2 linked regions of the Caenorhabditis elegans genome follow. The protein of the gene in region 1 purifies or fractionates together with the protein of each later gene. This does not show direct contact. Each region holds a gene or a part of one and is shown in the gene's direction. Other genes may lie near its edges. The genes, in order: C53B4.2 and F20C5.5.

Region 1 (11,285 bases):
TTGAAATTGATACAACCGTTTTAAGACAGGAGGTTTTATTGTTCAGAGCTCCAAGGAAAGTCTGTTTCAGTGATCGAGAGCACCGAATTTGTCAAGAAAATGCATAAAACCAACAAAATTGACATATTTCTACAATAACTGATAAATATTTGATAATATTTGAAAAAAAAATTTTTGATTTTTTCGAAAAGAAAGTTCAAAGGGTCTGCTTATATCTCCGTGGAAAAAATTATTATGATTAAGTGATTAACTACAAAGTTGTTTATTTTAATTTAGAGAACAATTTTGCAGTTGACCGTTTGTTGCCAAAAAATTTGTTGGTTGAGATATGAACGGAAAAAGAAGAAGAAAATACAAGCATGAAGGTGCCCAACTTTACACAACTTTATCTCGACCAACAAATTTTTTGACAAAAACCGGTCAACTACAAAGTTGTTTTCTAAATTAGGATAAACAACTTTGTAGTTAATCACTTGATCATGAACATTTTTTCCGCGGAGATATAAGCATCCGAAGTGAATACGTTTTTTGAGCATAGTGGTTCTATTATACCTCAATTTTGGATCTCAAACTTGTTTTTGAACATTCAAATGTAAGAAACATCACATTTTGACGGTTCTATAACATCTGGTCAGTTTTTAGAAAGGTTTCGAAAAAAAATGTTTTTCGATATTTTGAAAAAAAAATGCAAAGGGTCCCCCCTTACAAAATTTTTTTGAAATTTATCCAAAAATTTTTTTTTTCGGAAACTTTTTAAAAACTGACAAGATGTTGTAGAATCGCCAAAATTTGATGTTTCTTTTATTTGAATGCTCTAAAACGGGTTTGAGATCTGAAGTTCAATTTTGTAGTTGATTCTTCTCCCTGAAAAAAATTGGTGATTGAGATAAATTTGTGTTGAGTGCAGCGAGTTTATGCTAGTATTTTCTTCTTCTTTTTCCGTTCATATCTCAACCAACAAATTTTTTGGCAACAAACGGTCAACTGCAAAATTGTTCTCTAAATTAAAATAAACAACTTTGTAGTTAATCACTTAATCATAAAAATTTTTTCCACGGAGATATAAACAGACCCTTTGAACTTTCTTTTCGAAAAAATCAAAAAAATTTTTTTTCAAATATTATCAAATATTTATCAGTTATTGTAGAAATATGTCAATTTTGTTGGTTTTATGCATTTTCTTGACAAATTCGGTGCTCTCGATCACTGAAACAGACTTTCCTTGGAGCTCTGAACAATAAAACCTCCTGTCTTAAAACGGTTGTATCAATTTCAAAAGACGATATATCAAAAAGTCACCAACTACAACCTTTTTAAGCTTAAAGCAATAAACATTTTGATAGTTGTAATCATTTTTTCATCTCTATCGAGAACCGAGATAAAGTTGAGCACAGATCTAGAATATTTTGGCCATCTTTTGGGGCTCACATCTCGACAGTCACTAAAGATAACAAAAATATACCAACTGACAAAATGTTCTTTGTATTATTGTCAACAACTCTTTAGTTGACCACATTTCATTAATTCAAACGCCAACCAAGTTATAAGTCTCTGAACGTAAGACGGTTATATAACATCTTCTCTCAAAATTTATCTAGGGAATGCGTCTGTACATAGTGCTACTCACAATATTTCCATGTGAGTATTGCATAAAATATCTACAACAAAGAATCAAATACATATTCCCAGAAATCCTGTTTTTGGGTCATTAGGATGTAAATGTAAACATTAGAAGAAACATATGAGACGATATGATGTCGTAAAACAATAACGAGAGGAAGGTATTTACAACCTACAGACCCAAAAACATCTCTTATATCTAGAATATATCTGAATTTTGTCTTGTTGTCATAGACATAACCATTCCCAATAAAATATAGACCAAAACGAACTATTTTTCCGAGAATTGTAGACATTTGCCGTTATCGAAAACTAGCCCACTACAAAAATCAAATTAAAAATTTTTCCGAAAAAAATTATTTTCATCAATTTTTCCATTTCAGTGTTAACATTTCACAAGTCAACAACTTTAGTCATCATTCGCATATTATTCGCATGTTTCCGGTCCGTTCAGTTATCGCTCGCTTATTTTTCGCCTATCTGCGCATAAAATTTGCAAGACAAAAATTTCACTCATCGCTCACCTATTCTTCGCCTGTGCGCGGCAGTAAACCTGTCGCTCGCTTATTATTCGTCTGTTAGCGGCCCTTCACCTATTTTTGACCTGTTATTCGCTTATGGCGGCTTACCTGTGTGGCCCAGTGGTTAGTGCGTATGACTGCAGAAATTTTGGTAGTTGGTTCAATTCTACCAAGTGATAAATTTTTTTGTTTTTTGTGAGTAATCGGGATTCGAATAGAAATACTCGATTTTATACAAAATATGGGTACGTCTCCCCTAATATAAAGCCTCTTCAAACTTCAATCAATCAAAACTCAGCTTTAACTGATTCATCGGGTGCATCTGTTTTTGGTCAAACCGAACTCAAAAATTAAGAAGACTCCCATTGACCTACTGAAATTTTCACAAACCCTCTAACAGGTTCGAGGCGAAGCCGTGAACCTACGCCCGGCAAGGGGACTCGCCTTACACCCCCTACAACTGGCGGGCCCGCAGGGCCCGCTAGTCTCTGAATTAAAAATTTCCAACTGACAAAGGATTTAGTATTTAATTTCATATAGTTAAACAATTTGGGAAATATTTGATCTAAATATTTGATGAATAATCAAAGTTGTTCACTCAGGTGCAAGACTAATAGAAGAATACCGTTTTCTGGATGATCAGTTAAAAACGAAAAATTCAAAATCAACTGGCCCTAATTTCAAACAAGTTTTTATAATTTACTTTATTTTAAATTTCAGAATCCTCACTACAACACATATTCAACTCCACTTATAATGACATCAGTGGAGACTGCCGAATCTACAGTAACCACAAGAACTGGATCAGATGATTATGCTCATCACAGAGATTCAATGCTCTCCGAACCATCAACAGGAACAACAACTCGTCATTTAAAAGGACTTGGACCACAAGGTTCACTTGTTTTCGAAGATGATCCATCATCACTGACAAGCCTTCGAATGTAGATTTTTCCTTTTTCTTTTTCAATTTATTATGCGTTCACAGAAACTGGTATTTCTCTTTGAATGCACAATATTTTCCCCATTTCATGTACTTCATTTTCTACAATCAATCTTGATTTTCCATATTCCCCAAGTTTTTAATTTCCTCCCGGTCATTTCTCATTCTCACATCCTTTGGGTCTCATTACGAAAAAAACACCGATAATTGTCAAAAAGATTATCACTTGGATCATATTGACTCCTCTCGTTCATTGTCTATTAATGTGACCGGTTACCTGTATTTGTACATAGAATAGGCACTTTCAACCAATCATTTGATTACTTGTATTACTTTCAGATCACACAGCTTTTATCTTGTTTTTATTCAGGCTTTTCAAGTGGAAAAGTTCTCGAATTATTTTTATTTTATGTACGGTTTTACGAACGTTTTGAATAAAATATTGTTGAAACGATGAAACAATTCAAGAGTAATTACCGAAATTGCATGCTTCATCTTGCCCGCGTATTTCTCCGATAAATGAGTAATTTCTTCATTTTTAAAAAGTTTAGGAAAAAAAATCCTAAACTTTTTAAAAATGAAGAAATTACTCATTTATCGGAGAAATACGCGGGCAAGATGAAGCATGTCTAATTTTTAATTTTTCATAAAGTTAGTACAAACGGTGAAAGTTAGTAATGAAAGTTAAAACTAATCTTTAAAAAATGCCCGTTTCCGACAACTTTTATTGCTTACGAGTCCTCGTGGTAACGTTTGGGAATTCATCTCGCGCCCTTTTGGAATTTTGGAAAGTTTTCGGTCAACCCATTTCCTGAAGTAGAAATAAACTACCTGGAAGCTCTCAATAAATTAATGTTCTGTTTTATGGGTTTTCTGGAGAAACAACGCCCCTTTTCTCCCATGAACATGGGAAATTAGCTACAACCAATATAAATTATAAAAACTCCGTTCCCATTCAGACACAACATACCGTTAACAAAAATCCCGTGATCATCAATAATTTTCTAGATGTTTTAGATTTAAATTTAAAAAGATCACGTGGTTTAAACTTATTATGTATCAAGCGGAAGCCTCGTGGAAATTTAAAAAAATCAATTTTTTGAATCATTTCTATTCAGAAGACTCCCGCAAAATGGACGAAAAGGGAAAAGCAAAAGTGAGTCAAGAATATTATGATGTGCTCTCCCATATTTAATATTTCCAGAGATTCGTGAGCAAATCTAGACAATCTAGGCATAAACATGGAAGTTCTGTAGTTGTGAGTTTAATTTGCACAAATAAAAATGTTCACAGTTTAAATAAACTTCGAAATATAGAAGTCGAAAGCAAAGTCAGTATCTCGAAAAATGAGAAGGACCAAACAACCAGTAGTGCAACCTGTAGTGCAAAAAGCTGCGGTATTATCCCCTCCAGATAAAAAAGAGAAAGAAAATAAAAAGGACGAAAAGAAAGATGAAAAAAAGGAAGAAAAAAAGGAAGAGAAAAAGGAAGAAAAAGGAGAAGGAGAAAAGAAAGACGAGAAAAAAGATTCGAGTGCGCCATTGAAGAAACTGTCAGAAGAGAAAAAGAAAAGTTCTCGAGCAAGAGGAAAAGAGAATATGGGTCCAGGATCAGATAGTGATTTAGATGGAGATTTAGGAATGAAAAAGAGTAACAGTGAGTTACTCTATCGATTTTTAGTTTTCAATCTAATGATTTCAGTTGTACTACCAAATCAAAAGGGAAAGCCCCAGAAAGTATCAATCAAAACTCGTGACGTAGATCAGAAGGAAATGGAAAAACTTTTGAAAAAATTGAAAGAAAACAAATCTCAATCGATAAAAGCTACATCCCCTCTTGACGATAAATCCAAAATGTTTATGGATCGAATTGTTAAAAAGCCGTATCTTTCTAAATACACCACTAAAGAGAAACTGACTCTTTTAACTGATGATGGAACAGTTGATGACATATTCAAAGAATCAAAAGTTAAAAAAGACAACTCAGCAACAATTGTTCCTGTGGAAGACTCGTATGATTATGTGCCAAAATTGTCGGTTGTAGAGAAGATGTCGGATCAGAATATCTACATAAAGGGAGAGACTGATTATGTCCCATTTTGGGCAGCATATGTTGAACCAAATGAAGATGATACCGTAAGTTATTTTTTGAGTGTGATGTTGCAAAAACCACATTTTTCTGAACAATTTGAGTACCGTGTGACTTCATAAAATAACTGGTGAAATTTTCAGAAAGACGTGGAACCGCCCATATCAGTTGGAAGTGATCATGTCGAATCATTTCATGAAGGGAAACTTACACTCAAAACTATCAAATCCGCGAAACTGGTGCTTGACGAATATCAGCCATCTTGTCTTTTCATGAAACTTGACGAAAAGTTCTTTCATCCACATCTCGTTTTTTCAAATACCGTTCGTTCACTTATTAATGTGCAAGGACCGGCTATGGAGAAATTGCAACCGATAAAATCTAGCTCAAAAAATGAAGATGACGAGGGAGAAAGGGAAGAGGCAACTCAATTAGAAGGAAATAATGTAACAATGGCCGAAAATATTTCTAGAATTTTTAGTTACGAGGTAGCCGATTTCATTCTCCTGGTATGAATCTATGTTTTATTTTTTCAGAGATCCCGTCCAATTCTTTCTGCTCGAGAAGCAAAAGAACGTAATCAGACATTGCATGTATCTTCTCCAAAATCGATTTCTCAAAAGCCACCAACAACAAACGTCGAGATGGAAGATGAAGTATTCGATTGATTTCCATATTTTAGAACTGTTTTATTTATTTTCAAGATTAGTATCACTGATAAATCACTTTTAAAAATACTTTGTTTTTTTTATTAGCACTGCCAAACCTGACTGAACAGTTCCAGTTCGTCCGGTTTTCTCTCAGATTTTGAAACGCAAATAAAAAAATTAAAAAAGGTTATCGGACGGAAATCGGACGTCTTGTGCGCTGAAATATGATAAGATATATCAATAAAATGCATGACTAATTGTTTTTAATTAAAATATTTTGGTATATGGATGAGTTAATTATTTTTGTTAAAGGTGCCTTTAAAAACACTATTTACAACTGTTCAAACCTGAAAAACACAATGAATACTTACTTTAGTCCGGTACTCTGCATTGCCAAGGCAGTTTTGTCATGTGAAACCAGAATAAATTACTGACTTTGCACGGACATTTTGTTTAAAAACAGTTTTTGTTTTATTGGAATTTTTACTGTTTCGTTGAATTATATTTTAAAAAACACACATTTATAAATTGGAGGAGATAATATCTAGGATATGTCAGGTACGGATAATTTTTGTTTAATGTTTCACTATTTAGTTTAAACATTTTAATGTTATGGTAATTCTGTAACTTTTAGATTGTCTATATTTTAGGGTCATGGCGTTTGGATATTACTGTAATGGTGTTATATCAAATAACACTAATCTTCTCAGCTCAGCTGATATTTGTAATTTTTCTAGACTTTATGCCTTCCACGTATTGTACAGATGGTAAGAATAGCTGATTTTAAAAATTTTAAATGAATTTTTCAGACAATTTTTGCTACAAACTACAAAGTAAATGCTTGATGGATTATGACCATAATGCTCAGAATTTATGTCCGGTCAATATGACCGAGAATGCAGTTTGTTTGAAAAAAACTTTACTCATAAAAATCTAATTTTACAGAGCAAGTGCATTGCTGATCACAGTAGATTGTTTTTTCGAAGTGCACAATTTGAATATCAACAAGATTGTACAGGCCTAAATGGGTGATTTTCAATTTTCATTCAAATTCATCAAAATATATTTGGTTTCTGGTTGAGATTTCAATTGTGAAAATCTGAAATCCTCTTTTTTGAATTAAAAAAAAACTTTAATTATAACAATTTTTAATGTATACATAGATTTTCTCTCTCCACCGCTACATTTATTGGAACTTTACTTGGAAACATTGCACTTGGATTCCTGGCAGATAAATATGGCCGTCGAACAATTTATCTATCATCTCTACTTTTTGGAATTCCATGTGTTGTTCTGTCAGCTGCAATCACAAACATATATTCATTTTACATATTTCGTATTTTAATTGGAATTTCTGTGTCTGGAACGCTTACTGTTGGATGGACGTATGCCACAGAAATGATATCACCTAATCGAAGATTAAGAATTTTGGCATTTTCCAATTGGGTAACTTATGTGATACTTTCAATAGAGTTTTCAATTTTCGCGCTATAAAAACAATTTTGACAATTTTTAAAGAAGTTAAACAATTAAAAATTTTTGGTGCTTCTCTACCTTTAAAAGACGTGTTTTAATCAGTGAAAATTATTTCAATTGTAAATTATTTTAGCCAAACGCTCGAATGATTCAAGTTGGCCTTGCATACATATCTCAAGAATGGAAGACTGCAACTTATATTTGTGCAGCAGTTTCATGTTTATCTCTTCCAATCCTTATTTATCTCCCAGAAAGTCCAATTTGGTTGGATCAAAAACAAAAATACAAAAATGCATCAAAAGCCAGAAAACGTTTGCGAAAAATTGGAAAGTTTTATTCAAACGAACACAGTACTGTCGTAGCAAATAGAAAGTTCACGCCAACGAGAATTCTGAAAGATCCGAAGCTCCGAAACAGTTTCTTTATGATTATTTTTATGTAATTAACTTTGAATGATAGTAGGTAATATGTTTTTTCAGGTATTTCTATGTTGGGTTAGCAGTTTATATCACAGATTTAAATGGAGCAGATATGACAAAAAACTTATATTTGGGACAGTTTTTGTCCGGTTTAGTACTCTCAATCGCTCAATTTGTAAGTTTATTTAATCATTTATTCTTTATGATCCCATTTTTTCAGATAATTGGTATGACAGAGCCATATTTAACAGGATTAGGCCGCCGAGTTCTCTTTCTTATCGCTCAATTTATTGCTATGCTGTGTTACATTTGTATTTTGATATGTCTTTATTTAAATTGGAAGGGCTCATTCTTATATCTTTCTGCCTATACATTAGCTTATGCTACTCAATCTCTTTGTCTGGAAGCTGCATATCTTTCTCTTGTGGAACTTATGCCAACTGATGTTAGAGCCACTGCAGGATCAACTGCCAACATTTGTATGAAAATTGGAACTATTTTGGCAACCTTAACGGTAAATTAATTATATTCATTTCACGGAGATGTGAGCAGAAAAGTTTTAGAAGCCGTTGAAGTTTGCATATGAACCATCACTATTCTTCATTAATTTGTCAATATGTACGATTGGAATGATTCTTGTGTTTTTCAAGTTAGAGGTATACAGTTTTAAATGTTCTAGAACTACAAAAAACTAAATAGTCGACTTCTTGAAAACTGTAAATAATACTTTTCAGGAATCACGAGAAGCTGATATGAAAATGATTGGACAAACGAATGATAACATAGCTTCAGCTCACAATGAAGAAGAAATGCCAAACCAGACAATACAATTAAAAAATTATTCAAATAATTAATTCTTTGACAGCGAAATTGAGTAATAGGCGAACTTTATTATAAGTCTTACACCCCCATAGCTCCATTTGCATGTCTCATCGCTGTCTTTAAGTTAAACTTTTTTTTTGAAAAAATCATTTCAATCATTCAAAATACGTGTCAAGGCGTCTCTTCTTTTAAATATTTTAAAAGTCAACTAATTTGTGATAAACTCAAAGAGAATCGAGATATGAGCTGTCAAAGTAGATCAACTTGAAAAAAGAAGTTGGTGCATACCAGTTGTACTTTTTGTGAAGTTTACTACTAGTTAATATAAAAAAATAAAAATTGACATAGATTTATTAAAATTATCACAGTTCGAATCGATCACAGTTCAAGATCATTAAAATATTCTATTCGGTACTACACTCTAAACTCAATTAATCCGTTTTGTGTTTCTTAATGAGATTCTCGTCGACCGGCGACACAACCATAAATGATATTGCTAAAAGAGATCCAACAATTCCAAGAAGAGTCAGTGATTGGAATCCATAGTTTTGGAGAAGATAACCAGCAAAAAGTGGAGAGAAAGTACGAACAAGAGAGTTTAAAGATGTGGCCGTGCCCAGTACGATTCCCTGAAATGTTGAATTACCTCATTTGAAACACTGTGAATAATGAGTGGAACTGAACTAAAAGAAAACTCCTAACCTGTTCAGATTCATCAACTAAAGCTGTGAGAAGACTATCTGCACATGTTGCAACTACACTCATTCCAAGAGAAACAAATGGCATTATAACAAGAAGCATCCAGAAATTGAAAAAGACAAATGTGAATAAAGTGTAGCCAATAACCTGGAAATAATCATACATAAACTTTGAATCTTTAGCACAACTTTAAAGTAAATGTAACTTACAAAACTCAACGATCCGATTATTAAAAGTGTTTGCTCATCAAATTTTTTTCTAAGCCAAATGACTCCGAATCCATTAGAGAACATAATAAATACACCCATCATCATCTGCATTATTTGATTTTCTGTATTGGTAGCATTGAATTTCTCAATGATGTATAACTGTAAAAACGCTAGAGTTTAAATTGTGAAATTAACAATTTGAAACTCACATTCAGTACTGCAATTATCATAATGAAAGGAACAACTCCACCATTTTTCTTAATCATAACATTTGCTACTCCAGGCTTTTGAAGAATGCGAACAACATTTGTAATGTTTATTTGAGGTGGTGGACCATTTGCATTGTCCGTTGAGATTTCATGCTGGAAAATTTTTAAAGCTTATAATTTCTAGATATGAAAACTGGTGGATATATCATATATTTTGAAGGTGGAGTATTGGTCGTGGAAGCCTGATTACATATAAAATCGTGTAGATTTTTCAAAAACTTTCAGTCATTGTGTTGGTAAATTTCCAAATTAAAAAAAAAAACTTTTTAGAAATATCAATTACTGCTGCAGGTCTGAACCCCATAGTACATGAATGCAGATTATTAGAATATAGCAATCGAAGAAAAAATTTTTGGTCGACTTCTAGAATTCGATACTTCACTTTTAACAATAGCGTGTGTTTTGCAACTAACCTCATATGATTTTTTCTCAATACACGTTTCCAAAACTAATGATGGAAGAGCACAAAGTGCAGCAGAAACCAGAAGTGGAGCAAGATCTCCTCCAAGTTTTGTGGCAGCAATTGAGAATATTGGTACAAAGATGAAACCTATTCCAAATGTAAGTCCCATTCTCCCAAATGCACTTGTTCTCTCTTTTCCGGGTGTTGTAAGTGCTGATAAAAGAGTTTGATGGGCTTGCTGTCCATGCATAAAAACTACGGGAATACGAGATAGTAGAAGAGAATAATAATCCTGAAATTTGACTATTATTTATCTTAAGCCTAAGATATCTTGAAAGAAAATTCAGAAAATCGAGGATAGACTTTACATTAGGACTGGAATTCCTGGGATTTTGCCTTAAATGGCTCCAAATTATGTGTCATTTTAAAATTTATCAATTCAAGAAAATTTACATTAGTTTCGAAAAAGCCAACAATTGGGCGGGACATGCTCATGTCTGTAGGGGACAAATAGTTGGCTCTAATATTTCTAGATTTGTTTGATTTTTCTTTGTTGAATATGATATACTAGGGTATTTTGGAGCAATTCATAAAAAAACCGCACAAGTATTTTTCAATTTTGGAAAAGGTTCAAGTTTTAGATTTTTCACTAAAACAACTTTTTTGATATTTTTGAAAACTGAAGATAATATTAAATACGTCATAATGAAGCACACTCAAATTTAACTGCAGAAATTTTGGAGTTTTTATTTTCAACTTAACGCGAAGTCGTGTCTAATAGTAAGAATCCAAAAAGTTTGAGTAACTTACAAATGAAAAATAAAGTGCTAAACCAGAACAAAGAGTAGACAGATAGCATAAATGAAGTGCATATCGAATACCAAACTTTTGAATCACATATCCAAAAAGGGGACCACCAATCATTTGAAAAACTCCGAATATTGTTTGAATGTACCCTGAATTTCACTTTAAATTTCTTACAATTCAAAAAAAGTTTTTCTTTTAAGTGTTTTCATATTCGACTTACCAAAATCCGCATCGGAAAGTTGTAGATGTTTAACTAAATATGGCGTAGCAGAAAATTGCAGGAAAAATGTAACATTATAGAAAATAGTAAGTAAGTATGTAAAAGCAATAGGCCGAGAAACTTCGAAAGATCCTATTTT
Region 2 (11,522 bases), 200 kb from region 1:
TTAGCAAAAATAATCGAAACTACGAAGAAAGATGTTACCACGTTAATTAATACAGAAGGACCTTCAGAGGATGTTTCGGGTAACTTTATGGAAGCTAAAAAAATCCACGGGGCGCTGGCCCAACTGAAAGAGAAAGATCAAACAGTTTCTGATCTCAAACAAAAGACCAATCAGAATAATAAACGCGTGGATCAAGAGGATCCAATAGAAGAATATGAATATGATTATAACGACGAATCGGATGGAGAGTCGGTAAAAAGTGAAACTTCTAGTTGGGACCAAATTGATGATATTTTTTGAGTTAGTTTCACTCTTTTAATGATCCAATTTTGTTGCTTTGATGTATTATTTTTGTTTCTTCATTTTCCATATTTCTACCTTTCAAATATTCAACTTACTCAGGAATGTACATTTTTTCTCATATTGTTTTCCCACTGATGACCTTTTTAAAGTTCCCCCGTGCACAATTCCACAGTTGGTTTTGAAATTTCAGCTACATAAAACCGATAAAAACATGGGCGGAATATTTTCTATGTCAATATTTCTTATTCAAAAAAATCTTTATATTTCAAAGCATGTGGTTTGCTTTTTTTCAATAGATGGTTATCATTGCCGTTTGAATATCGAATTTTTTTTTCTTGTATTTTCATTCTGATATAATATTGTTTCTATTACAGAACTTCGACACACTTTTAAAGAAATTTACCAGTCAGCAGGAAGATGAGCATGGACGATCGTAACTCTGAAGCTTCAAGCTCTACAGCTCATCGTAAAGGCACCGTTCCCTCTTCAGGAAATATCAAAAAAGTGAACGGGAAGAACTCTAAATGCTTGCGCTGTGAGGTGGCAAAACAAAAAGAAAAACAAGAACGACGTCTTTTGATAAAATATATCTCTGGTGCTTTTCCTGGAAGTGGTTTTCTTGACAGTGATAATCCGTTCAAGATACTAAAGGTTTAAAAATAAGCTCTTTACTCATTAAAATACTATATTTCAGGATTTTCAAAAGTCTGCAAATGCACATGAGCGCTTGAAAACTGAACTCTGGCAGGCAAATGATCAAATTGAGATGATTTTTGAAAATAATAAATTGAAGACTAAAAAACTCGAAGAAAACTACAGAAATGCAAAGGATCAGCTCAAACTTAAGGAAGCGCATCATCTGAAGCTTACTCAGCGAATCGAAGATCTCGAGAAAAAATTGGCAGAAAAAGATGAACGGCTGAATTATCTGGAGCAACTTCCAAATCAAAATGAACTATGTTCAATGCTTCAGAAAGAAATTTTGAAACTTCGTTCATCGCCTGCTAGAGATAGTGAAATTGACATTTTGAAGGAAAGTCTTGAAGCTCAGAAACAATCTGAAACGTGGAAGATCCAGAAGCTTACAACAGAGAATAAGATACTGATGAATGAAAAAGATGAGAGAATTTTGAAGCTTGAAAAGTATATTGAAAGCATGAGAACCAAGAAATTTTAAGATTGAGAAAAGAGCTCGAGAGAAGAGAAAATAGCTTGAGAGAAGCACAGTCTCGAAATGGTAAGAAATTTTTATGAACATGTTTACCGGAAAAATGCAAGAACAGAAAAGTATGTTTTTATATTTTCAGAAAAATCACAAAGTTTATCATCTCAATTCATGAAACAGAGGGATCCTGACATCGAATTAATCTACCACTCAGAAAATAGAGGAAAAGCGAGCAGTAAAGATAATGCAATGGAAACCAACTCCCATAGTTCTAGTGGAACTAAAAAGAGAAGAGTTATTTCTTCAGAAGAGTTGGAAGGTGAGCTTTTTTGTTTTAATAATATCTGATTAACTCTGAAGAAATTGTTTTAGCTTCTTCCTCGTATCCTATCGCAAGCATGAAGAATTGTCTGAAAAATGAAGAAATTCAGAAAATGCAAAAAGCTCTGAAAGAGAAAGATGAGCAAATTTCGAAACTTACCGAGCAACTTCAAGGACTTCTGATTAATCGGGACAAAGAAACAAAAGTGGAGGATTTGCAGCAATTCGAATACGATGGGGATTCTGACGGATAATCTTCAAAGAGTCAAGCATCTAATAGTTGGGATCTGATGAATGACATTTGATTTCCATTTTTCCATGTTCTAACTGATACGTTAAGTTCATTTTATTAGTGATGCAACATGTATGTAAATATTTTTGTTTATTTTGTAAGTAGCAAGCTCTGGTATCTAATTTTCATCTTGTTTCGTTTTTGTTTTTCCTTTTTTTTCTCAATTAATACATAATGAGTTTTTAATTTTTTTTCTCGAATTTTCGTTGATTTGTTGTTTTGAAATTCTATTTTGAAGACCTGGACAAAGTGGGAAAACCGAATTTTCAGGCTTTGTTTAACTTGGGCTCGTGCAGTAGATCATTGAAAAGTGAAGAATCAGATGGATGGGATCATATGAGCGATGCTTAAGCTTTTTTAATTCGTAATTTCAATTTTCTGAATTTTTTCTGTCAAATTCTATTTATTTTAATATTCAAATTAACTATTTTGCATTTTTATTCATTTTCCTTTGTTCTTCAAAATTGTAAATTCTTCGTGTAAGTTGTATATCATATTCTTGAATCTTTTCCTCAATAATTCTAAAATTCCATTTCGACCTATTTCCTCTCAGGGCTTTACTTGATTTTTCAGTGTTTTTTTCAACCTCGTCGTTATAAAATTTTTACATTTTTTTCAAATACTTCTTGTGATTTTTGGAAGGTTTTACACCTTTTCAAATACCTTTTTTATTACCTCAATACATGGAGTCTAAATTGATATTTTAGTAACTTGGACTGGAAAGTATGATGGACAACCTGAAAGCTGAATTGGCACAAGCGAAAATCGACATCGATCAATTGGAAAAGAAACAATGGGAAACTTTGGAACAATTGGTGATGAGAGATAAGCTTATTGAGCAATGCTCTCTACATACGGAGATTCTTCAAAAAGATTTTCGAGAGAGTGAAGCACGAATTATTCAACTTGAGCAGCAACTTTTGGAACCTGGAGAATGTGGTAGTGAGCTTCGGGCAACTATCAAAAATCAGGAGGAGTTACTCAAAAAGCAATCAGAAGAAATTGAGAGGTGTAAGGAAGAGAGCCGCATGTTGATTCAACAGAAGGAAGAAATGGAAAATATTCATTCAGAAGAAATATTTGGAAAAAACAAAACAATTTCGAATCTTCGTAAACAGATCGATGGTGATGTTGAGAGAAAGAAGGCAAAGATTCGTACGTTGAGAAAAGAACTGTGCTCAGCGGATATGAATACAGGAAAGATGTGTAGACGTGCCAAAAGAGCGGAAGATAGAATTGCTAAATTGGAATCCGATCTTGAAGGTAAGCTATTGTTTTACTGAAAGTTGGCCAACATTGGTTAGAAAACAGATGAAGTTGATTGAAAAAACGAGCTGTTCTATTATATATTAAAGTATTAATTAAAAATTACCATCTATAATTTTCAGAAGAACGCCAAAAACATGTGGGACAAGACATCAGTCATATTTTGGATCAACATAACTCGACCGTCATGGCGTTAGAGATGCAACTTGCAAACACTCAGCAGGAAAAAGCCACGCTTAATACATCAGTTGAAGATCTTAAACTTCGAACTGAAGAGTGGAAGCACAACTTATTGGGGCAATTTGAAGTATTGACAGGTAAGCTTGTGAAAGTTTTCTAGGGGTTTTACACACATCTGTAAGCATTTTCTTTTATTTCAGCCAATTCAAAGAGAGAATGTGAATCAAAAGAAGAACAGATTGCAAATCATAAAAGAGAAATCATGGAAAAAGATAGCAAAATTGAGTGTCTGATGGAACTTATTCAAAATAGCGAACGATCCGCTGAAATTCAGAAGATGCATGATGCATTGAGAGAGAAGGATTTGAAGATTTCGGAACTTTCGGAAAAACTGCAAGGTCTTCTTATCAATCAAGAAGGAGAAGCTGATGATACAATGATCGATCAAGATGACGACAATAAATCCACACACAGTGAAGATTCAGATGGATGGGATAAAATAAATGCCATCTAATTTTTTGCACTAAAAATGCGCCCCGATTTTTCATATGCTTTTTAATTTTTTTCCTTTTTTCCTTTTAAATTTTAAATTCAACTTCGTATTGGAAGAAAGTAGCTCTTTAATCGTATTACCTTAAGCCTTCAACAAAAAATTATTTTTAAAAAACAATTGTATTCTTGTAAACTTTGTACCTTTTCTGTACTGCACTGTATTATAAACTTCATATGTTTCCCGTACTTTTGCGTGACTCTGTCATTGTTTATACTAATGTGAAAACATTTTACTTATTACTATTTCACAAATTTTCAAGTATCTTCACTTATTCTCAGGGATATTCTGTTTCTCACCTCATTTAAAAACTATTCTCATAACAATTATGTTCTTTCTCAATAAAGTTAGTATTACTTATTGTGCTCATTTTATATTTAAAAGGTTCTCATTTCCTTTCCGATTATTTTCAGAGCGTTTCATGTGCAGTATTGGTAGGTATTTTCTATCCATACAGTATTGTTGGGAACTCGATGTAAATTTTCGGAGATGTATTTTATTTTACAAAAAATAGTTTTGAAATTGCTCAATTCGGATAAGTGTGGCTGAAGCTTCGAAAACTGACTAATTTGTATGAAAACATCTTAAAAAAGAACAATAACTTCAATTGAGAACATTCGTTGGCTAGTCAGACAAATTCGATTTTCCTAACATCTAAAATTGCCTTGTTATTTTTTTCGTTACTGAAATTATGGCAACACTTACAAAAGATAAAATACTATAATCATATATCTTATCGCATTTTGTTTGCAATCCTTTGCTCCTTAAATGTTAATTTTCCCTAATAGCAAATAACATTGGCCCTCAAGTTACCAAACGAAAGAGTTCGACTTATATTCTCTTTGATCAATGCGACCTGTCTGTCGCTTTACAATGACCTACATTCTTCCCAACTTCTCTGTATAATATGTTATCATGAGAGATAATCATTCTAGTCTTAATTCCAAGCCACTGTCTATGAGCAGTCACTCAATGGTCACTAAAAAATTATCTCACAGTTTCAGCTTGTGGTTATTTACCAGAATTTTTTTGTTTGTTTGTTTGTTCACTGAACACGAAAAACCATCAAAATTTGCATTGTTTTAAGAAACAACAACACTTAGCTCAAAATTGCTAATTTAGCTGAAATTGACTGAAGGAATATAAAATTAAATTGCAGTTTCAGCTAGCTGTTATGTACAAGTGAAAATTTCAATTCATTTTTTTTGTTATTTTTGAAATGAAGTCTTAGCTCAGAATCGCTAATTTAGCTAGAATTGACCGAGAGAATATAAAATTAAATTACAGTTTCAGCTAGCTGTTATGTACAAGTGAAAATTTCATTGCATTTTTTTTGTTAATTTTGAAATGAAGGCTTAGCTCAGAATCGCTAATTTAGCTAGAATTGACCGAGGGAATATAAAATTAAATTACAGTTTCAGCTAGCTGTTATGTACAAGTGAAAATTTTATTAAGTTTTTGGTCTGACAGTGTCAACTAGATGTTATAAAAGTTAACACGATTTCTTTGCTTGATCCGTTTTTTCACTCCATGCTATTTTTTGCCTTTACTCTCGGGTTATTAGAATTAACTCATAATATCCTCATCAATAAATGATATGATGATCCCAATAACGAAATAATGTACTATGGAGTTACCGAAACTACTCGTTTTTCTTTGCTATTGCATTATTTTTCAGCTTGTTAAGAAGTCATTATTGTGATTGGTTTATTCAATTTCTCTTAGTACTTGTTTTTACTGATTTTTTTTACTTTCTAGAAAAGATTTTTCTGCTACATTTAAATTAACTATTTTCAGAACTATGTCGTTCACAGCATCTCAGCCTTCACCTGAACAACAGAAACTTGAATTTTTAATTGATAAACTGGAAAAGTGTGAAAAAAGAAGCAGCGGTGGAAGAGAATGGAGTTGAAGTGAGCATTTTTTAAATACAATAGTTGTTTCGTTTCATTGGTTTCAAAAGCTGTAATTTTTATTTTCAGAATTATGCTTGCTTCACTGGAACCGCAGAAGAATTCAGATTGATAATTCAAAGTTTGTCACCAAATATTTCAAAAATGTAAGTGCACCTGAATATCTTAAAGATGTTACTTAATATATGTTTTTCAGAAGCAAAAAAACACATTTTTTGGAAGTAGACAAGTTTTGGACTCCAGAGAAAATAGTCAGAAGCTCCGAAGTAAAACGAATAAACAAGAACACTGAAATTTCGACTCAAGAATCCACGAGTACATCCACTGAATATCAGTTTGCAACACTAGAAGATTTTCAAAATGCTATGGCAGAAAAAGATCAAAATATCAAAAAATTAAAAGAAGAAGTTGAGAAATTAATCGATGAACAAGAAGATGAGATAATACTAGCTGAAATGCAATTCGAAATTTTCCAAATAAAAGCAGAGACAGAAGCTAGAAGATTGAAGAAGTTGTTGATAATGAGAAATGAAGATTTCTCAATTCTCAAAACTAAATATGAGGATCTTCAAAAACAATTTTATGATTTGTCGCCATATCCGGTTAACGGTTACGGTGGAATATTAATTGGTGATGAAACACCGAAACAAGAGAAGTTGATGGATCAACTTTTGGACAAATTAAAAGTATTAAATGATGGAGATTATTATGACATTTTCCACTTGCTGGAAACTATTGACAAGATCATAGTCACGTTTTCTCTTTATTTCAAGGATCCTATACTTATAACAAAAAAGATGGAAGACAACAAACAGATCATTCAAAAACTTGAAGACGAAGTTGACTATCTTACGAAAAACTTGGAAAGTTTGAATCCATCGCAGCTGGTTACATCTTTGGAAAACAAAGATGATTATCTCTTAGTGACAGTGGAATTCCAAAAAAGAAAGAATATTCTGTTTTCCGAACTCAAGAAAAAGAATGAAGAGATTAAAATGCTTCAAGAATCCTTCAATGTTTATCAGAAGGATAGTATTGAAAAAGTCATGGAGAAATTTTTGGAACTTCAACACCAGAATTTAACAGTATTCTCAGTTGATGATACCAATTCTATATCAACTGAACTAAATAATGATCGGAATGTTGCCAAGAATGATAAATCCGAAGGTGTTGAAAGTTTGATGCTCGAAAATTTCAACAATTCTTTGAAAATTGCTTTGAATTCTGTGAAACGTGAAATTTCAAAGCAAAATGTTACAATCAAAACTGATGAAGACATGATAAAAGATATGAAAAAAACGATTGATTCGAATGAGAACATGATCAAGATGTTGGCAGATGAATTGTCATGGAAGACAAAAGATTGTCAAGTGAAGGTCTCTGCACTGGAAAATCAAATCTTTGATAAGAATGATGAGATTGTCAAATTAAAGAGTCATGTGAGCACTGAATCTGGAAATTCTCCGAAATTGGAGCGTAATGTTCGAGAACTGACACTTAAAATCTCTAGTGAGACTTCTAGTCAAGGGACTAGTAGAACATATCCCCATTTGGAACAAGAAATTTTGACGTTCCATTCTGAAAAAATTTCTGATCCTTCCGAAGAGGCAAACCAGGAGGTCAGAGAATTCCCACTTGAGCAAACATTAGAAAAACTGAAACTTGAACAGACAGAAAGTCTTGTCGCAATTCTTGAACAACCCGGAGGACTCAAAACTATGCGAAATGACCCGCAATGGTTGCAGGTGGTTGATCATTTCTGTGATTATGTACGAAAGATTGAAAAACTTGAAGAAAATGTTAAAGAAGAACAAATGAATACTGAAATGATTATGAAAGAAAGAACTCGAGAAATCACTGAGCTATATTATCAGAAAAGAGTTCTTGAGAAGAAGATTTCAGAGCAATTTAAAGAGATTCAACAAGTTAAATCTGAAATCTCGAGAGTTTATGAAGCAAATATCCAGGAAATTCAAAAATCGTTTGATATTAAGCTGAAACTGAAGGATCAGATAATTGGAGAATTGGAAGCTGTAGATGAGATGTCATCAAATCATACGGAATTATCCGATGGATGGAGCGATCTCGATATTGTTCAAAACACAGAAGAATTGCAATAAATGTTAGCAATAGGTAGAGTTTCTACTTATATTCAACTGTTGAATTTCAATTTTTCAGAACACAATGTACACTTGCTGATTTGGCCTTCTTCCCGTTGAAATCAACTATAGTATGCCTACACAACCAGTATTTAGATCAACTTTAATAGAAATTAGCTTTACTTTGTTTGTTTGAAAAAATATTTGACCGTTTTTTTTTGTTTTTTGATAAATTTTTTAAATTAATGTTTTGTTTTTCCTCCTTAATTAAATGATCATTTGTTATATCTGATAGCACTTACAATTATTTATTTTGTAATTTTAAATTTACATTTCAGATGCCCTCACTCGACAATTAATCTCAACCAGCGAATGATAGTTGGAGCTTTAATTGATAAACTGAAGGGGGTATTATGTATTTCAATTAAATTGAACTATACATAAAATTACAGACTAATATAATAACATTTTATTTTATTTACAAAGCAAAGTATACAAATCTGTTCCCGTACAATACATGCTACCAGCTTATTTTGAGACTTCAACTCTTGTAAACAAATTTGAAGTTCATCCGTCTATTTTCAATTAGTTTTTCCAATTCATGTTGGATGAACCCTCGACAGTCTCTGTTTTAACCAAATCAATATGAAGAGAATAGTAACGAGAAGTAAGAATGTTCCAACAACCAAATAGATTACTGGTAGAAACAGATTCCTGGGTCCAACCCAGTTTTCATTGGCTATAACGAAGTACTTGTCGCCCGAATACATATCCACTGGATAGTCTGAAAATCAGTAGTATGGAGAAAAATTGTCTATTGATTATTTTCAAATTGATCAAAAATGTTCAGCTATAAGAATTCATATAGAAAAATTCAACTTGTTTTTTCTTTACTATTGTCAAGTCGACAAAAAATAAATCTGGAAAATCAAATTTGGTTTTGAAAAATTTTGACAATTTCGCTTGAAAGAATTTTCTAAATTTCCCTTTTTTCTCAAAAGTTTGAACCATAATAAAGAAATATCGAGAAATTTTTGTGAGGTTTTATAACAAAGATTGGTTTTTTGGAGCCACTGTTTATCTGAAACAAAAAACTTGCATCTCCATATTTAAGCAGGTTTGGGTGGAATTATTGTGAACTTTTGCAGTAAATTTTTTGCATAAATACATAAATTCAACATTAACATAAACATACTGTAATTAATGGTCAACTGATATTGTCCTTTAGGTAATCCATTACTGAACATATCAACTTGTCGATTCAGTATTCTATACAGTTTTCTGAATTTTGGAAGAGCTGCAACCTTCATCCAAACCATAAAATCAATGTTCTCGAAACCAATGCCAACATCTGGATCAATACTGTTTAGTCCCAATTGACAGATCGGATATCTCCATGATGGCGGAGGCATTGTTCCCTAAAAGATGGAGTTTAATTTATTTTTTTTCTTATTTCATTTCAACCGCAAACACATCACATAATGTCTGGTTTTCCGCTCGAATCGGATTTCTGAATTTTCTTTTCATTTCAGTTGCACCGAGTACTCCACGAGTTGTCCATGGAACCCGTGTTACCGCGTTTGAGGCTTTATCATTGATATAAAATAATTCGAAGGTATCTGAAAAAAAAACAAATTTTGAAGTTAGATGTATTATAAAAAATGAAAAATGTTGCAATACTGAAATTAAGCAATCAATTGAAATGCACCGTTAAACATTGAATCAGCCACTTTCCCACACGGCGCAATGGGAACTTTAGTTCCATTAACATCCACATATTCTAATGGATCACATCCGTCAGTTTCAGTAACTTTTCCACGTAGCTGTTGATCGTTTCGTGAGTTGAAGTATAATCGATTGTTTTGATAGAACTTGGAAAGACCGTAATAAAACTTCACTTCGCCCTGTAATGTTGAACATTAATTGTGATACTTGCAAATGATGATTTTAAGATGGTACCCCGGGCTTTGAAATATCATAGTAATATTTTGAAGAAAAATAATGTGAAAAATTAGGAACTGCAGAGCAGGTTCAACCTAGGCTTTATACATATTTGGTTAAATATTTTCGAATTGTGTTTTTACCAGATACACTCACTTCCAACTAAGGGCTCTTTAATCAAAATGTTACAATGTCGTTTCATCCTAAGACCAGATCCAAAATTTCCTTCGCAAAAATATACATATGTTTTCTTTGATGATTTAAAAATTAAAACTCAACTTACAGTATAATCGTCATTCAAAGTAATTGTATATGCACATTTAAATGTTTGATTTCCCATTTCAGTTCTCATAATTCGTGAAGCTTGTGTTCCATTTGAAAGAGCACAATCCGTGTACACAATCTCTTGTTCTAATGCTACAAGAATCAATATTTGACTACTTGGACTACATCCCTGTTTTCAAAAACTGTACCTTTACAAGTTCAAGGAAAACGAAAATTACGAACACGAATGAGTGGCCTAAAGCTATATCAATAGGACTAATTATTGTCAGATTCACAACAAATTGCTCAAAATTGATCCATTTTGTGTAACTAATAGTAAGGCTCAAGTGCAGAACATTCCGGTACTAACACGGTAAAATAAAAAATATTTTTTAGCTTTGTGAAATTGTAGCAAAATTATCGATTTTCTTACAGTTTTTATGACACTTGTTTTTTGTTGCTATCGGTTTACAATGTAAAATTTTGACAAGAAATTTGTTTTCTTTAGCTTTTTCTTACTTATTACCAGGAAAGAGTAATTGATATTTTTGTTTTTGGGATAATAAACTCTAAAAACTCACATCCATTATGTCCGAAATAAAGAGCAATTCCCATTGCCAACGTGGCTACTCCTGTTATCAGAGTAACTGGAATTGCTGAAGTTATGTTATAATGAGGCCGTAAAGCAGGCAGTTTTTGTTGTTTCCAAGGTGTGTCTAAAGAATTAAAAAAGTAACTTCAGATTTTTCTAAATTTTTCAAACCTTTCGGCTGATTTTTCTTTCCTCTGTGTCGTGGCAATTTTGGAATATCATCTGGCATGTTTTGGTGCTTTCTGAAAAAAAAACAGCATAATTTTAATAGATTCAAGCCAAAACGGGCAATATTGAAATTTTTAATATTGCAAAATGGAGGTTTAACACCGAACTTCGCAGAAAAAAAAATTGAAAAAACGAAAGTAAAATTGAGTCTATACAATGGAAAAGTCAACAGTCAGAAAATAAGAGTGTGGGAAACGCAGAGAAGAAAATATTGAAGAATGGCAAGAAAACTGTGCCAAGATGTGGGCAAATAATGTAGAAATATTTTTTGAAAGGTGTAGTTTGTGACTTTGGACACGAAAAGTTGATTGAATTTTAAAGAATTTAAAGAAGCAGTTGATTCTGAAAGCTTTTGCTCGGTCCGATGACCATTTTAATTTCGTTAAAAAAATTTAACTGTTTTTGAAT

The links.
Region 2: the proteins of C53B4.2 (region 1) and F20C5.5 fractionate together in Caenorhabditis elegans (co-fractionation; one large-scale study listed by BioGRID). This does not show direct contact.

Annotation. Positions count from the first base shown.
Region 1 is NC_003282.8:8,961,995-8,973,279, forward strand, and holds C53B4.2 (DUF4776 domain-containing protein), read left to right. Parts: upstream 1-4,188; 5' UTR 4,189-4,216; coding exon 4,217-4,240; intron 4,241-4,288; coding exon 4,289-4,342; intron 4,343-4,400; coding exon 4,401-4,740; intron 4,741-4,785; coding exon 4,786-5,219; intron 5,220-5,315; coding exon 5,316-5,660; intron 5,661-5,708; coding exon 5,709-5,840; 3' UTR 5,841-6,004; downstream 6,005-11,285. Other genes in the region: tpra-1 (Transmembrane protein adipocyte-associated 1 homolog), read left to right, coding at 2,862-3,089; suex-2 (Major facilitator superfamily (MFS) profile domain-containing protein), read left to right, coding at 6,374-6,380, 6,473-6,589, 6,632-6,723, 6,768-6,850, 6,986-7,268, 7,432-7,736, 7,778-7,892, 7,938-8,231 and 2 more; C53B4.3 (Major facilitator superfamily (MFS) profile domain-containing protein), read right to left, coding at 8,971-9,168, 9,242-9,385, 9,448-9,606, 9,657-9,809, 10,130-10,411, 10,930-11,075, 11,147-11,285.
Region 2 is NC_003282.8:8,764,473-8,775,994, reverse strand, and holds F20C5.5 (PACT_coil_coil domain-containing protein), read left to right. Parts: upstream 1-6,355; coding exon 6,356-8,110; downstream 8,111-11,522. Other genes in the region: C33D9.6 (Protein CASP), read left to right, coding at 1-300; F20C5.6 (ELKS/RAB6-interacting/CAST family member 2), read left to right, coding at 2,807-3,344, 3,470-3,664, 3,728-4,041; cdc-50.B (Cell cycle control protein 50A), read right to left, coding at 8,689-8,873, 9,285-9,507, 9,554-9,708, 9,798-9,993, 10,314-10,447, 10,876-11,010, 11,058-11,115.